Linked DNA regions of Macaca mulatta. The protein of the gene in region 4 interacts with the protein of the main gene of each other region in a biochemical or structural test. Links are inferred from orthologs where the notes say so. Each region holds a gene or a part of one and is shown on either strand. Other genes may lie near its edges.

Region 1 (3,999 bases), on a different chromosome or scaffold from region 4:
GGGAAAAGGAACAGGATCAGAGGGGCATGGGCAGGTATCAGGCCGTTAACAGTCTGCTGTCACCATGCATGTGTGCGGCAGATGTCTGTCTCCTCTCCAGACCCTGCACCCTCCCAGGAGTCAAGGAGGGTGTCTGTCATTGCTGAGGTCCAGGCCTGGGGAGGAGGACAGCCTGGAGGCTGGGAGAGCTGTGTGGCTGAGACCCTGGGCCACCCGCAAGGGTCTGCCTCCCTGGGCAGATCCTCAGCAGGTGCTTGGCTGAAGGCCACAGTTTGAGTGCTGGCAGAGCTGCTCCACAGGCCAGATATGAAACTGGGCCCCAAACCCTTCTCCAGGGTCCATTTTGCATTAGTCTAAAGAGGCCGTCCTGGGCTTGACCTTGGGCTTCCAGGATGACGCCCGCACCTGCTGTCCTTCCTCTCTGGTTCCCTGCCCATCTCCTTCCTTCTCTGCAGATTCCACTTCCTGGGTTCTTCCCTCAAGTTCCTGGACCCCCGCTGGCTGCAAAGTGGAGGCCAGGTTCCAATTTGGCCTCAGACTGGCTAAGCCTGGTTTCGCCAGGGGCTTAAGACAGACTTTCTACATGTGACAATGAGATGGGTTCACATAATAGCCTGGATTCCTAGCTTCACTGAGTCACCACAGAAACAGTGACAGCCCCTCAACAAGGCAGGCCTAGGTCACCCCCTACTCATGCCTCACAGGATCCTTAGGCTTCCCTCCCCTAGGGGCTGGGTCCTTGAATCTAAGCGCTCCCCTTCTTAGCTCTCCTGTTCCCCAGGCCCTCAAAGAGCCAGCCTCCCGGATGCCCCCACGGAGCCAGCGCCTCTCCCTCACTCTGCTGTCCCGGAGACTGGCTCCCTGTGGTAAGCCAGGCTTGCAGAGGTGGCTCCTGACATCAATCTGGCGGCATGTGGCTGCTGTGGGAGACACACACTGGCTGAGGACAAAGGGCAAGGGCTCATGGCTCTACCCACGACTGGAAGAGTGTGCCCCAGCCCTTCAGATAAGGCCCCACCTAGGCCTTCATGCCAGTCTGCTAGTCACCCTGCCAAGGACCCAGAATGTCCTTCCCCAGGTGACACACCCTACCTACAGATAATTCTGCCCCAGTCATGCCTGCCCTTGATAATATACGCCACCACCGGGGCCTCTGCCCCAGCCCTCCCTCCCCTGTCCTGCAGTCTCCCCGCAGAGTCCCTGGGTGATGGGGCTCTGGCCCTGGAGCCCCAAGGCCAGCCCAGGCCTCTGCTCTGACAGAACAAGTGCGGCAGGCGGGCGCGCTGGCAGAGCTCGGTGAGGGTAGCTGAGGCTCGGAAGGTCCGGAAGGGTCCAGGTCCTCCCAGCCTCCTCAGCCTCTCTGGGGTGGCGCTCCGGGACAGGGAAACAGGGAAGCAGGTGGCAGGGAGGCCAAGGGGGCAGGTAGCCTCAGCCCGCTTAGGCCTCCAGCAGGCAGGCAGGCAGGAGGCCACTCTCCCAGAACCTCCAGGCTAGGGGAAGAGCGCCTCGGAGGGCTCAGGCCCTACTCGGCCCCACCATCGCCAAGACCGGTCAGGGGGGCGGGGGGCGGGGGGTCGGTCTGCACCCTCCGCCTGCAAGAGCGCTGGGCGGACGCGGAGGGCGGGGGCCAGCCCGGGAAGCTCGGGGTGCGGGGGAGGGGCTGGGGCCGCACAGGAGCGCAGGGCAGCAGTGGCCGGGCTGGCTCAGGACGCCTCTCCCTCCCTCCCCCGCTCCCATAGGCCGGATGCTGCCGAGGCGTTCCGGGCGCCCGGGGGTCGGCGAGGGAGACCCAGGACCGGGTGTCACGCCGGGGTCGCCCAGGCCGGCGCGGGGCTGCGGGAGGCAGGGTCGGGGGAGGGCGGGTGGGGGGATGCCTGACCGCCTAGCGGTGCCCTCGCGCCTGTGTCCCTCACGCCGGCCCAGGTCCTGCCCAAGTGGCTGTGGCTGGCGTTCCGGGACCTCTGTGACCTTGGGTCTGTGCCGAGACCCCCACGGGTCCCCAGCTCAGCTGCGCCCGCGGAGTCCGGTCCGGGGCACCCACGGGCGCGGCCAGCGCTGGGCGGGCAGGCGCAGCCCGGGCCCGAGGAGGACGCCGCGGCTCCAGCAGCAAACAAGTGGGGGAGGGTGGGAGGGGCGTCCTCCGCGCCGCCCGGGCGGGGAAGGGGCGCCTGCGTCGGCTTCCGGCCGCCTCCCGCGGCCACCGCCGGGCCCGCTCCCGCCGCCGACGCCCAGGTGCGCCAGGTGCGGGCCGGGCCGGTCGGGCGGGGGTCGCGCTTACCTTTCTGGCCGCTGAGTGCCGCGTACCAGGACAGCGAGAGGAAGGCGCACAGGCAGAAGAGCAGCAGCGTCAGGAAGGTGCCATTGCGGAGCCTCATCTCCTCCGATGCGCGGCGGGCGCCCGCGGGGCCGAGGCTGCATGGCCCGGGGAACCGGGGCCGGGGCGCAGGGGTCGGAAGGCGGCGGCTGCAGGGGCCCCGGCCCCGGGGCGGGGAGGGGCGGGGGGGCCGGGGCCGGGCAGGGACCGGGCCGGGGAGCGCGCCTGCCGCTTCTCAGGGCGCAAGCTTTGTGCCCTGTACTCAGGGAAAAGGAACAGGCTCAGAGGAGCAGAGGCAGATATCAGGCTCACTGCAGGTATCAGGGGCGCGGGACACTGGCGGCCTCGCCTCCGCGGCAGGGCCGGGCCAGGCCGGGCTGGGCTGGGCTGGGCGGCGAGAGCCGCGGCCCGGCCTGGATCTGGGGCCTGGATCTGGGGCCGCCGCGGAGTCGACGGCGCAGGGCGGGGCGGCCCGGATTTAAAGGGGCCGCAGCACCGCCGCCGCCAGCGCCGCGAGGGGCGGGGTGGGGGCCGGCGCCCGTGATCCCGACCGGCTCCCGCAGCCCCGCTTGGGCTCGTGCGAGTCGGCCTTAGGTAAGGCCGGAGTGGGAGTGCGGGTCGACCGCAGCCGGCGCGGGCGGCGGGGGCGGCGCTCTCGGGCCCAGGTACTCTTCTCGGCAACATCTCCTCCGCGCGCGGACCCCGACCCCACTCGCACGTTCTCTGGGCTGTTTCCCGAGCGTGAGGGGCTCTGGGTGGCGCGGGGGACTGGGCGCTTGGAGGGGACTGGGCGCTTGGAGCCGGGAGCCACCGTTGCCTTCGGCGCCGCCCAGGGCGCTTTCCCGCTCAGGAGCTTCCTCTGGGGCGCGGGACTGAGACGCACAGGGGCCCGGGAGGCGGGAACAATGGGCCGTTCTAGGGGGAATCAGGGCCAATGCTCGTGGGTGCAGAGGAATGACCAGCCCAGAACCGGACCGGCTTCCCGGGACAGTGGCGGCCCAAGCGCGCCGCTTACGGGAGCAACGGGCCCTGCTCCCGGTGGTGCAGCGGCCACCTCGCCCCGCGCAGCCCAGCCGGCTCTTGATAGGGGCCCACGCCTTCGGATTTTTGTGGGTTTTTTTTTTTGAGACAGAGTCTCGCTCTGTCGCCCAGGCTGGAGTGCAATGGCGCGATCTCGGCTCACTGCGATCTCAGCCTCCGGAGTAGCCGGGATTACAGGCGCCCGGCTAATTTTTTTTCTTTCTTTTTTTTTTTTTTTAAGACTTTGGGCAGCGCCTGGCCCGCTCCCAGCTTGGACCTCCCAGTCCTAGGGGCCCGGTTCCGGGTGGAGGCTGCAGGGACCTCTGCCCCGCCCGCTCGGGGGAGGCCTGAGGGGCTGGACTCAGACTGGGAGTGAATGCAGCTTTGTCTTCCTAGTCCAGCCCCGGCCCACACCTGGGGCTGGGTGGAATCGGGAGCTTCTACGGGTCTGGACAATTCTCCCACAGAGAGATTGATGCCAAGAAGTGGGTGGCCGAGCCAGAGGCCGAGGTGGGCTGGATCCTGAGGCCCAGTGTTAAAGGACAGGGCTCCCCATTCAGTGCTCCTGGAACATTCCGAACTAGAGACTGGGACTTGTAGGCGCCTTCTAGAGGAAACTCGTGTTTTCACAGGTGTCTTCTATGTGTGGCAAAGGATAATGGCTT
Region 2 (4,106 bases), on a different chromosome or scaffold from region 4:
CGATTTCATTCATAACACCCCCGGGGGCTAGAGCGAACACACTATTTGTTGATTAACCCCATTTTACACGTAAGGAAACCAGGCTCACAGAGATGAAGTGACTTGCCAATATCTTTAAGCCAGATTTGAAACGAAGTCTGTCTGAGTCTAGAATCTACGCTCCAAAGCACCTAATTCGCTTTCCTCTCAGAGACGACTCTCTGGCCAGACCACCAGGTAACTACTACCCCACTACCCTTTCTTGCTAGGCATTCCTGCCACGGTCCCTCCTGCTCTAGACACACACACACAGGCCCACTCCTTTCTTCACAAGTCTCTGCAATGGGAAGTTCTCTTTCCAGCACCTGGATCCTAGATAATCTCTAGGCCATTGCCTATCCCAAATCCACACTCGAGTTATCTCCCTCCGGGAAACTCTATCTCTTATGAACAAGTATCCAATGCCAATCCCAAATCTTGTCTCCACTGTTACCTCATTTCTGTCCTCATTCCCTTAGCCCCAAGTCCCATGGTGCCCTCTTTTCGGAAAAACTCCACAAATTCTTACGCCAGAATCCCTTCTACTTACTCCTTAACCTTTCCAGTCCCCCCATTTCCCAGTCCTACTAGAAACCTGCCCTGAGGCCTGGTGCAGTGATTCATGCCTGTAATCCCAGCACTTCAGGAGGCTGAGGTGAGCAGATCACTTGAACCCAGGAGTTCAAGACCAGCCTGGGCAACATAGCGAGACCCCATCTGTATTTTTAAAAAAGAGAAAGAAAGCAAGCTCCTTTTCCTTTTTTGAGACAAAGTTTCACTCTTGTTGCCCAGGCTGGAGTGTAATGGCATAATCTCGGCTGACCACAACCTCCCCCTCCCAGGTTCAAGCGATTCTTCTGCCTCAGCCTCCCAAGTAGCTGGGACTACAGGCGCCCACCACCACGCCCGGCTAATTTTTGTATTTTTAGTAGAGACGGGTGATGGGGTTTCACTATGTTGGCCCGGCTGGTCTTGAACTCCTGACCTTGTGATCCGCCCGCCTCGGCCTCCCAAAGTGCTGGGATTACAGGCGTGAGCCACTGCACCCGGCCCGAAAGTTGCTTTTTTCTAACTGAAGATTCACTCCGTCCTATACCAGGGTTTCCTCTCCTCAGACAACCGCAGATCTACCCGAACCCATTCCCAGAGTCACACCTCCTGGCTGATGCAGAGTTCTGTGCTTCCCGCTGAAGGCCCCCACTCCCTGGGTACACAAATAACTGCTTCTGGGAACCGACCATATCTCTGGGAGACGCTCAGGTCCAGAAACATTCCCCACACTCCACTCTGAGGCCTCCAGTGAAGTCAACAGGTTTTCTTTCTCTTTGCTCCCTACAGCCTCCCCCCTCCCCATATTCGCTAAGCCAGATACATACTCCTTCTGTGCTGGACACAGGATCCTCTGTCTCCTGCCACATATTTCATCCACTTGGAATGTTACCAACTCATCTGCCCCCATCCCACCCGCAGCTACCCCGTTCTCCAAAAAGCCCACAGTTAGCTCTAGACCATTCAGCAGCAGCCTCAGAGTTATTTGTCCTCAGTCTTCTTAGCTCTAGACCCCCAGATCCTTTGTTGAGGGAAAAATCCTCTCCCCCTCCAGCCTCTGGACACCAGGGCTCCCTACACCTCTTCTAGAAGCCAACCAGAAAGTCCCCAGATCTCCCAGCACCAAATGTCCAGGCTGTGCCTGCTTCAAGGGTGGCCTTCCAGCCCCGGAAGAGAGATGGGGGTGCCCCCTCGTTCAATCTCCCGCAGCCCCTAAATGCTCACCAGCCAAACTCCAAAGCACTGAGTCCATTAGACCCTCCCCAGCCACAGACACCAGCGCCTCCACCTCACCCACCCACCCCCGAAGCAAATAGGAGAACTCCCAGGATCGCATCCAGCGGCATACTCCAGGATTCTGCTTCCTCAAAACTCTCGCAGCCCCGCACACCTGGACATTCTTTCCCCACCCTGGAAACACGGCTCCCCACCCCGCAGCCCACACGCTGGGCTGGCCAGGCCGCCAAGCCCAAGGAGCTCCGAACCCCAAGATCTCCATTTTCGAGACCCTCCCAACCCAAATGGAAAACCTCTTGTTCTTCCGACTCTCTTCGGCTCCAGAAACCAGTTTCCGGTCTCCGATCCCTACGGTAAGGAATCCTCCCCGCCACCCCCGTCCCTCACCTCCGAAACCCAGAGGCCCCTCCCCCAGTGTGCCCCCTGCACCGAGCGTCTGGATCCACCCTCCGGTCGTGCCGGGGCCCTTGTCCCCAGATCCTTTTCGGCGGCGGGTAGCGGGATCCCCCGATCCTCAGGTCGTCTCCCCGACCTCAGGCGCTGGACTCCCGCGTCCCACAGCCCTTTCCTCGGCCCAGGCTCCGGGCTCCCCGGCCCCCGCCCCGCGCACTCTCACAATGTCCGTCCGGCCCCGAGTAGCCGCCGGGCTCCGCGTGCGGCTGCAGCCCGGGCGGCGGTGGCTGCGCGGTCCCCTCCAGCTCGGAGCCCCCCTCGGTCTCGACCTCCTCGTTGATGTGCCCGGGTCGCCCCGGTTCGTCGTCGGCCTCGAGCTCCCGCTCGTCGTCAGGCTCCTCGGCCTCCAACGCTGCCTGCAGCCGCTCAGCAAGCTCGGCCTTGAGGCCTCGAGTGTCCAGGCCGCGGCGCTGCAGCTCCTCGCGAAGTTCGTTCACCTTCAGACGGCGCACATCCATGGCCCGGGCCCCCGGGGTGGCCCCCGAGCCCGGCCCGGCCTCCCAGGGCTCTGTCCCCCTTAAACCTTTCCTGTCAGGAGGCGAAGGGGGAAAGGGGGGGGGCCCACTCCAATGGCGGCGGCGGCTCAAAATGGCCGCCGCCACCGCCTCCCCCTTCACCCGTGCCTCGTCCGATGTAATACGAGTGCCAATTGGTCAGTGCATGGGGCAACGGGCGCGGGCCCGGAAACCTAGCCAATCAGAGTGCGGTTTTCAAAACAACGGCAACGAGAAGGCCTACGAGCTACCGGGTAGGAAGCGTTGGCCTACGTCGAAGCCGAGGCCGGAGCGGAGGGCGGGAAAAGGCAGGAGGCGGAGCGTGCGCTGATTGGGTAGCTCTCGCGCGCCGGCTGCAGTAAAGCCCAATGAAAATAAGGGAGTAACCCTTTGGACCAATCAGCGGTGAGATCTCAGAATGAGCGTCCGACGGCCTTTCCTGCGCAGTCCTTTCATCAAACTAAGTGTCTCTGTAACACACATTCCGATTGGTGTATATCTCCCGCCCCTTGAGGAGTCCGAGCGGGTAAAACCACTAGAACCAATCAAATGGAGGGTCGTCAGAAACCCCTCCTTCCTGTTGCCTTTAAGAAACCGGAAAGAGATGAATTCACCAGGGGCCCGCCCCTTGCCGTTAGGGCGGTTTCAAAACAATCTGCCCACCAATCGCAGTTATTGTCTTAGCTCACTAAAGCGTAGAGATGGCTCGTTTTAGGAAAAATGCCCCAGATTGGCCGTGCTTCAGAGGACTGCCTCACAAATTTCGCTGTAGGAGGAGGTATACGAAATAGATATTAAGTGGATATACAGTTCGTAATCTGGAAGGAACCCAGTTGCCTTTAGTAAAAGCAAAATTTTGACTTTAGAGAGTCCCGAAGGTTTGACTATAGAGACTAGACTAACAACGGGAGGCTAGTTGTAAAGGACACGGCCTCCCCTTCCCTTGGGTAGTCCGCGGCGGCCTTGCTCTATGGTCGGTGCCTGACGTGGAACGGGCGCTCTGCACGCGACCATAGAGCCTTCCCCTTACGAAAGACATCCAGAAGTTCACCGACCGCCCTCTCCAATCCTCTAATCGGCTGTTCCCGTAAATCGGGCTGTCTGGCGTCTGTATTGACAAGCTCAAACCCACGGATCCGTCATTAACCTTCGCGCTCATGAATACAAAAGCCACAGAGCTTCCCTGTGTCTAATGCTGCACCACCTGTCGCCTCTAACTCAGAAAACAAAACTCGAGTAAGACGCAATCGGGATACATGATGCAGACGCCCACTGCCTCCTGAGCCACACGTTAAGCCCGCAGAAGCCACACACCATCTCTACTTAGACAAAGGCACACCCCGCAGACGTAAACAA
Region 3 (4,160 bases), about 150 Mb from region 4:
GGCTGCAGACTCTGTCCTGAGCACTGGGCCGAACCTGCTGCCTCTGTCTACATCTCCTCCCACCCCCTCCCCTGCTGCCAGCTGAAGTCACTCAGGCTGAAAATAAAAATGCTCCCCCCACCCCAATACTTAGCCTCAGGAAGGTTAACTCACAAGAGTCCCTCTTTCACAAAAGGGTTATTATCAACTGTGGGCCTCTGGAATGGGGGAGGGGCAGTTGTTGGAGGAACTTCTGGCTGGGAAGGGGTCGGGGTGGCAGTCACCTGCATCGTCCTGTGAGTGTGCAGGAGAAGGGGGTCTATGTCCCATTCACTCACTCCATACTGGGGCCATCTGCCTCCCAGTGGACTTCGGACTGGGTGTCGGGGCTGACCAAGTCCACCCAGCAGGGAGGGTCCTGGGCTCTCAGCTGTCACAGCCCACCCTAGACACCGCTCCTCCTCTGTCTGGTGTCTGCTCCCAGCTCAAGGTGGGACCCAGGCAAGGTGTGCCCCTCTTCTCCCACTCCCCAGCAAAGTCTCCCTTTTGTGAGTGTAGCTGCCAGTACCTAGGTGAATGGTTGAGTCCCCTCGGAGCCTTCCCGCTCCTTGGAGGCACACCTCCAACTGACCTCCGCACTTCCCCCAGAGGCACAAGGTCCTGGGATTGGGCCTTTTAGGACACTCTTGGCCGTCCCCTCCACGCCCCCCAGAGTGGGGCAGTGCATAGGTGGGGCACGGCCTGAAAGTCAACCTAACCCACCCCCGCCCCGCGCAGTGGAGGCAGAAGTCCGGGATTCGTCCCTGACCGGTCTCGGGCCTGGTCTAGTAGGGTCAGGGCAGAGCGAGTCCAGAAGCGCCGGGTCACTTTACAGATGGGGAAACTGAGGCCAGAGAAGGCGTGGCCCCGGGACGGGCTGGCTGGTGGCCGGGCTCCGTTAGCGGCCCAGCCCAGGCCCTAGGCCGCCGGGGGCCGCCCCTCAGCCCAGCCGCGCGCTTCCCGGGCGCGCTCCGCCCTCGCCGCGGGCCCGGGCGGCCGCGCGGTGGGGACGCCCCGGGCGGCGGAGGCGGATGTGGGCGGGCGGCTCCGGGCGCGGGGCGGGCGCGGGGCGGGGAGAGGGCGGGCCGGCGGCGGCGGCAGGACCGAGCGCGGCAGGCGGCCGGCCCAGCGCAGCCAGCGCGGCCCGAAGGACGGGAGCAGGCGGCCAAGCACCGAGCGCCGGGCACCGGGCACCGAGCGGCAGCAGCACGCGAGGCCCGGCCCCGAGCAGCGCCCCTGCCCGCCGCGGCCTCCAGCCCGGCCCCGCCCAGCGCCGGCCCGCGGGGATGCGGAGCGGCGGGCGCCGGAGGCCGCGGCCCGGCTAGGCCCGCGCTCGCGCTCGGACGCGGCGGCCCGGTGAGTCCCCGCCCGCCGCGGCCGCCCGGGCCCGGATTTCCTCCCCGCGGGCCGGGCCGCTTTGTTCCCGGCCGGTCGGGCCGGGGCGCGAGCCGCGGCGCCGCCAGAATGGAGGAGCGGGAGCAGGAAGTGGCCGAGCGGGCCTGGGCGGGGAGGGCGCGGGGCGCGCGGGCCCGGCCAAGGGAGGGCGGCCCCACGCCGGGCGCCAGGGGTGCAGGCTGCCGGCCCCAGCCTCCCTCATGACCTTGGGGAGGCCGCTCCACCCGGCGAGGCCGGGGCCCGGGAGAAGGGGCGCTGCCGGGCCTGGGGCTGGGGCTTGGGGTGCCCCTGCGGGCCGTGGGGCTCCCCGGGCGTTGGGCCAGCGAGACAGCCGGCGGAGGTGCCCCGGGGTTAGGAGAAAGGCTCGCCGCGGCCGGCCTTCAAGTTTGTGGGAGGGCCCCGGAAGGAGACTTCATTTCCCACGGACAAAAAGTTGTACGTGGTGGCGGGGTACCCAGGCTAGCCACAAAGGACTGACCCTCCTGGGCCCCGGAACTGCTTCCTGTCTTGGGTGGGCCCTGGAGGTCCTGCCTGCTCGTCCCAGAGGCCGAGGCTTAGAGGGCAGCTGGGGCTTGCCCCTTAGATTGAGTATCCTGGGGCGCTAGCGAGCCTTGGTCCTGTCGGGACGGCCCCTGAGTGCTGCTGTGGTAAGCGGGGTTGGCTTGGGCCCCTGCTCTGTAGCCAGAGGCCGCCCCACATTCACTCCTGGGTCTCTTGGCCTTGCTCCAGGTGGCCACTTCTTGACTGCTTTGAGTCCCTCATCCAAGCAAAGGGCGGAGTGCATTGGTGGAGGCCCGGTTCCCTCTCCCCGGAGCTGTATAGACTTCTCATACACCAGGGTTCTGGAGGCAGATGGAGGAACCCTTTCGAAACACAGAGTATTTTTTTTTTTTAAGTTGTGACTTAAATAATAACAGCAGCAAGAATATGTGCTTATGGTAAAGGCAGGTGGCAGGTACGGAGGCTGTGGGAAGTTGGGGTCCCTCCGCCTCCACAGGCAGCCCTGTACTGGCCTGGTGTATATGTTTCTGTGCAGACGTACACCACCCTGTGTGTGCACAGATGTATTTTTACACATGGCTCTGGACAGCTGTCTGACTCTGTCAGCAGCAGGCCTTGGAGGGACGCAGGCCCTGGTGGGGGGTGGGGGGACATCCAGAGGTCTTTGAGTCCAGCCCTCTGCCTCCAGGCCACGCCCACTCTGTCGTCAGAGCCCCCTGTGCCTGAGGCGTGCGCGGCTGGGAGCCCTGCCCTCCTCAGGTCTGGCCTGCTTTCCATCCTGCTGAGTACTTGGGGCATTTCCCTCTTTGAGCAAGGTGTAGTCTTCCCTGTCCTGGCATTAGACACGAGGCAGTGGGCCTTCCTGCCATTCTAAATGTAGCTTAAGACAGTCAGTGCAAAGCACCCCTCTGTGGGTGTCCAGCCCAGGCCTCAGGAGGCCAGAAAGGTTGCCTGGCGGGAGAGCATCTTGGCTGACTGTGGAAAGACCCATGTTGGGGTCCATTCCACAGAGGTCGTCAGGTATCTCTGCCTGGCCTGGAGGTCCCAGAGAGGACCCTCCTCCCCTCAGGAAGGCCCGTCTGGAAGGGTAGCAGAGGACTGCTCACAGGAAGAGCATGCCAAGTGCTCTTTCTCGGGATGCCAGGAGTTGGTGATGTGGGAACTGGGTTTTGAGGGATGCCTAGGAGTTCATCTATCAGAGGGGAAATGAGGAAGCCATGCAGGATCAATGGATAAAGTGTGCTCAGGTGAGGGCTGGCTGGTGGGCCACTGCAGGGTAGGGGCCTGTCCAGTGCTCCCCCACTTACTTGCTGCCTCCCGACTGCTGTAATTATGGGTCTGTAACCACCCTGGACTGGGTGCTCCTCACTGACCGACTTGTCTGAACCTCTCTTTGTCTCCAGCGCCCAGCACTGGGCCTGGCAAAGCCAGAGACGCCTGGTACACGTTGGCCAAATGAATGAACCAGATTCAGACCGGCAGGGGCGCTGTGGTTTAGGAGGGGCCTGGGGTTTCTCCCAGGAGGTTTTTGGGCTCGCCCTGGAGGGCTCTGGGCTGCCGTTTGCGCCAGTGGCCTGTATCCTGGTCCAGTCTTCTTCATGTTTGAATTTCTTTGCTTTCCTAGTCTGGGGAGCAGGGAGGAGCCCTGTTCCCTGTCCCAGGATCCATGGGTAGGAACACCATGGACAGGGAGAGCAAACGGGGCCATCTGTCACCAGGGGCTTAGGGAAGGCAGAGCCAGCCTAGGTCAAATAAGTCTCAAAGGGACTGCCTGGAGGAGGCAGCCTGTCAGCTGGTGCATCAGGTTAGGCAGGCTGGGAAGGCCTTTTGGGGATGGGGATGATTTGTCCAAAGGCTCAGGGAGGTGGGAATGGGGAGGTGAGCAAGGCAGCAGCTCTCAGGGCCAGGTTGTTGAGGGGAGTGGTGGCAGGGGCTGGGGACTCAGCCTAGAATGAGGAGAGGCCCAGGTCCAGGGAACTGTGTTCAATTACGTGGATTTTACACTTGGCAGCTATGAGTGTTTTGGGGGGAGGTAAGGCAGGCCGGCAGTTGGGGGTCAGAGAGCCTAGAGGGATGGCAGCCCACCTGGGAAGGCAGGTGCAGGTGGAGCCCCCAGGCACGTGCAGTGGGTCTCCGACTCACCCTGGGCGAGGAGCTTCCCTTAGCCTGGCATGGCCTCACACTCAGCTTCCTTTGCTTCTCCCAGAGGCTGTGGCCAGGCCAGCTGGGCTTGGGGAGCGCCAGCC
Region 4 (4,208 bases):
ACTTCGGAAGATTTTTAAAAATACACATTTTGCACACTGGTAAAATAACAAATACAGTAAAAAACTATACATAGGGTTCTTCAGATTTACAAATATAAAATTTATGACTACAAAGTACTGCTAGCTAAGGACCAGGAAAATATATAAAACTGCTTGGTTATAACAATAAATTTTCTCCAAATATTTCATTAAGTTATTCTTGTATAAATTAATATTTACCAAGATCAAAGGAAACTTACCTTGCAAGAATTAGACAGTTCATTTGTGCAATCTCTGTTGCTGTCTCTTGATAAATTATCCACTTTACCTTCATTTCCAGATGCAAACTTTATGAGTAACTGAGATGGTCCCCCTTTAGAACAATTGTGCTTAAGGCTGGATAGACAGGAAATATTTGGATAAGCTCCTCCCAATGAAATACTTCTTTGTAAAATACCATGGTTTTTGTTCATCTGTGAATTTGGTCTTTCCAATTCTCCATTGATATTTATTTGATAATCTACATTTTGGGAGGATGGCAAACATGCAGATGTCCTATGCGTGAGCTTAATATACTCTGAATCAGAATTAAGCTTAATTTCTGACATTTCTGGTTTACAATCACCATTTGTTGTTTCACAATCTAATGTAGTTGTTTTTTGTTGGGTGAAATGCACTGAAACACAAGAATATCCTTCAGATGACTTTTCACAGACAGTCTGTTTGGGAGTATTATTCGAAAGAACAATTTTCTTCTGTAACGAGCCCTTCCTGTGAAGCGGACGTATGTCTCTTACTTCTCCGGGGGTACAAATTGTTTTAGATAACCGAAGTCCATTGACAGCTGTTGAAAGAAATCCTTTAGCACCAGTGCCACCCTCATTATGTGCAATTTCACTAGGAGAAATAATAAACTGGTGTGAAGTTTGATAGGATCCTTTGCTCAGAAGAGTACATGGACTTGTTGGAGAAGTCGGTGGGGTATTTGAAGGACTCCTAGGAAAAATGACTAAGGAGGAGCAACGTTTTAGTGGAATTTTTGTGTTCCTGCTCACTGGCAATTTCATAATCTCTAATCCATGTTCCAAGTCATCCTGGACAAAAGGATCTGTACTTGTACTTCTCGAAAAAATTTCACATGGAGTAGTATTCCTGTTTGGCACAATTCCACTGGAGGTGCTGTCAGAAGGTAAGTTTCCACCCAAAAAAGTATCATCACTTGGTGGCAACGTATAACTACTACTGTCACTGATGACACTGTTAGTGTATGAACCTCCACTTGTGATACTTGCACATGACCCGAAATCACTACCGTTGCTGCTGTAAGATCCATTATCACTGGTTGAAAAGTTACTAAGGCTACCACTACAAATGGCTGGACTGCTTACAAGGTTACCATCATTCACTGCATTCAATTCACTATCGACCACAGCACTGCTGTAAATACCATCCTTCAAGATACAAGTAAATGAAGCATCCTCACTATCAGCTAAGACATTGCTAGACTGAAGATATCCACTGTACCTTGTTGGCTGTAGTGAAATCTGTAGACAGCTGCTCTTTTTATTAACATTTTCAGATGAGGGAACAGACGATCTTTCTTGAGACTGAACGTTTTCCTTTATTAACGGAGCTAGTGCAGTCTGTCTGGGAGTCAGCTTCATTTGAACAACGTTAGACGCTGAAATCCGTGTTGGTCTCTTGAAGCACATGTGAACATGGCTATCCAAGTCATCTCCGGAGGTTTCTGACAAAGGGTAAGTATTGCTTCTTCTGGCTGCAAAGTGCAATCGTAAGCTTTGTGCCATTTGTTCTCATTTCCAAACATGTTAAGGGCTGAAAGTCATAACAAAGATCTCTGTCCGTAGACAGGCTAGAAGCAGCTGCACTGCATCAAAAGAAAAAATCATTTGTGGTGCCTAAAAGAGCTATTAAGTAGTAGTCTTTATCCTAAGTAAAACATTAGATACCAGATATCATAGGAAGAAAAAGACGACCCATTCCAGAGACTGACGTTTCCAAAATGTCTTGAATCGCTTGTAGTCAAAATGCCTTCACTTATAAAGCACTTGATTTCCAGCGACCTTTAAGCTGAGCTCAGCTGCAGCACACTGACTCAAACACAGCCAACCTTGTTTCAATTATACCTTCTCCAATTTGCATGAATGAGTAACACAAGAACAACAATCTTCTAACATTTCATGTTGAAACAGTATTTTTTCACCCCAGCTCTACTAAATGAACATTTAACTATGTGAATCGCAGTGCCTATACTTTCTCCAGCCAACTTTGACCACTAATATTTTTACCCATAGGTATAGAATTACAGGAAGTTGGTAGGAACGAAACCCCATGTAATTAAGTATCAAATCAAAGATTGAATTTCCAAATAGTAGTCATACTAGGAATCTAGTCAAGTTAGTTAATATAGGGACTGTTCATTTTTTTTTTTTTTAATTTGTGAATTCAAACAGTTCTGTAAATTTGGAAATACCAAAACTTTAGGATGAATTAAAACTTTAGCACTACATCAAACAGATACATATTTTAGCTTCTAAAGTGCTAATTACATAAAAAGTGAAAGCTTAAGGACAGAACTACAAAATTAACCTAGTAATACCATTGCAAAACTGAAGCATAGGTTCGAGAAAAAAAGTTTAAGAGAAGCTGTCACTAAGCATTTTCTCCTGTAATTTTAAGGCCTTTTCCAGCCAAGTAGAACAGTCTTTAAATGATGCCATTTATATTTTGACTATTAAAACTCTGCCAAGAAATAGCCTAAGCAAACATTCCAATAAAAATATATGCAGATTAGAAAAAAGAAAACTATACTCCAAGATAGTTTGAACACATAGGATATTTTATTCCACTGTCTCTGCAATTCATTCACTTAACAGAGTGTTGTGGTAAGTAAAGAAGTCTAAAAAGGATTTAACACATCAAATAAACATATCTCAATGCCAATTCTGTTCTGAAAAACTCTAAGAGCTCTTTGCTGGCCCCTGCTGGTGCTTTGAAACAATCCATTTAGCTGTTTGATATCTATAAAGAAATACAAACCAAGCTGTACATTTCTTTATATAAACAAAGTACATACTTGTTTATATTTTTGAGAGCTAGCCCTGCCCTAGAGGTGGAATTACTCAGCAGTGCTGATAAAGCTTCCACAGTAGAGAACAGTGGACTGTTTGTCCTTTTAGAGGTTGTGATTTTGTATATATTTTTTCTGCTTTGTATTTATTTAACCTTTATTTTCAGTTTACTGGGTAATAAAAATTTAATATTTTAATTTCTCTCCCAAATGCCATAGACCAAGGTTGGTATTCTATTTGAAAGAAACAAATTTATTTTTAAATAATACTCTAGGGTATATTTAAACCCCTTACCTAAATTTTATAGCTGGAACTCCAGTAATAAATATATACTGGCTCATTCATAGGAAAGTAAAAGGTAAAATAGTTCCGTTGTTTATACCACATGCTACTACACCCAAGTTGTATTTTTCTAAGTAAGTTTTTTTTCCTAAGTAAAAGCAAATATGTAAAACATATACTTTGTTTTAAAAAAACTGCTTAAGATACATCTGTTTTCGATCAGAATTTTCTAAACAGATATTTAATCAATTAAGACACAACAAAATAGAATTATGGGAATTTATTGAATTATATTTGACTAGAATGAAACATCATTGTGTTTTCAAATGTGTACAATAATTGGAAATTTAGTAATACAATTATGATGTTATTTTGGTTTTGTATAACCTATCTCCTTTAAGATTTTACAGACTTCAGTCAATATTCCCTTAACATCTTTTTCTTTTAAATAAGGAGGAGTCCTGTTTTACTCTGCCTTCAAATGACTTCAGCTTGCTTTCTGGGATTAAGTGTGGGGTCTAATAACTCAAAGAATGAATCCCTTCTAATAGGCTAATCAATGAGATCTAATTGTTCGTGCCTGTGGCCTACAACTTCCTGGAAATAAGAAAAGCTCCTCTGATTATTAACATATAAAATAATGAGCTCCAAGTATTTGGCCAGATAAATGTCTTCTCTTTGATAAGCTTCACTATAAGCATCAGTTCCATGTCCCCTAACTAGATTTTAACTTTCCGGAGGGCATGGACCGTAACTACACGGTTCTTCTGAGGCTCCTGAGCTTGTCCTGGGCACAAAGTAAGTACCAAGAGACACCAGAGAGAAGTCTGGATGGATGGATGGTGTCACCACAGG

Evidence for each region.
Region 1: of the proteins of NEDD4 (region 4) and SQSTM1, one has a biochemical effect on the other in vitro, tested with the Homo sapiens proteins (2 studies listed by BioGRID). The link is inferred for Macaca mulatta from reciprocal best matches to the Homo sapiens genes NEDD4 and SQSTM1.
Region 2: the proteins of NEDD4 (region 4) and HNRNPUL1 form a complex in vitro, tested with the Homo sapiens proteins (2 studies listed by BioGRID, with this or other methods). The link is inferred for Macaca mulatta from reciprocal best matches to the Homo sapiens genes NEDD4 and HNRNPUL1.
Region 3: of the proteins of NEDD4 (region 4) and AKT1, one has a biochemical effect on the other in vitro, tested with the Homo sapiens proteins (3 studies listed by BioGRID, with this or other methods). The link is inferred for Macaca mulatta from reciprocal best matches to the Homo sapiens genes NEDD4 and AKT1.

What each region holds. Positions count from the first base shown.
Region 1 is NC_133411.1:188,804,053-188,808,051, forward strand, and holds the start of SQSTM1 (sequestosome-1), read left to right. Parts: upstream 1-1,199; 5' UTR 1,200-1,296; intron 1,297-1,879; coding exon of another isoform or gene 1,880-2,375; exon of another isoform or gene 2,376-2,652; intron 2,653-2,741; exon of another isoform or gene 2,742-2,979; intron 2,980-3,999. Other genes in the region: MGAT4B (alpha-1,3-mannosyl-glycoprotein 4-beta-N-acetylglucosaminyltransferase B), read right to left, coding at 1,880-2,375. UniProt on the Homo sapiens protein: Molecular adapter required for selective macroautophagy (aggrephagy) by acting as a bridge between polyubiquitinated proteins and autophagosomes.
Region 2 is NC_133424.1:52,406,366-52,410,471, reverse strand, and holds the start of HNRNPUL1 (heterogeneous nuclear ribonucleoprotein U-like protein 1), read right to left. Parts: upstream 2,801-4,106; 5' UTR 2,715-2,800; coding exon 2,420-2,714; intron 2,246-2,419; exon of another isoform or gene 2,052-2,245; intron 1-2,051.
Region 3 is NC_133412.1:178,232,774-178,236,933, reverse strand, and holds the start of AKT1 (RAC-alpha serine/threonine-protein kinase), read left to right. Parts: upstream 1-1,360; 5' UTR 1,361-1,374; intron 1,375-1,581; exon of another isoform or gene 1,582-2,060; intron 2,061-2,513; exon of another isoform or gene 2,514-3,161; intron 3,162-3,538; exon of another isoform or gene 3,539-3,718; intron 3,719-4,120; 5' UTR 4,121-4,160. UniProt on the Homo sapiens protein: AKT1 is one of 3 closely related serine/threonine-protein kinases (AKT1, AKT2 and AKT3) called the AKT kinase, and which regulate many processes including metabolism, proliferation, cell survival, growth and angiogenesis.
Region 4 is NC_133412.1:33,224,973-33,229,180, forward strand, and holds the start of NEDD4 (E3 ubiquitin-protein ligase NEDD4), read right to left. Parts: upstream 2,801-4,208; 5' UTR 1,788-2,800; coding exon 240-1,787; intron 1-239. UniProt on the Homo sapiens protein: E3 ubiquitin-protein ligase which accepts ubiquitin from an E2 ubiquitin-conjugating enzyme in the form of a thioester and then directly transfers the ubiquitin to targeted substrates. Specifically ubiquitinates 'Lys-63' in target proteins.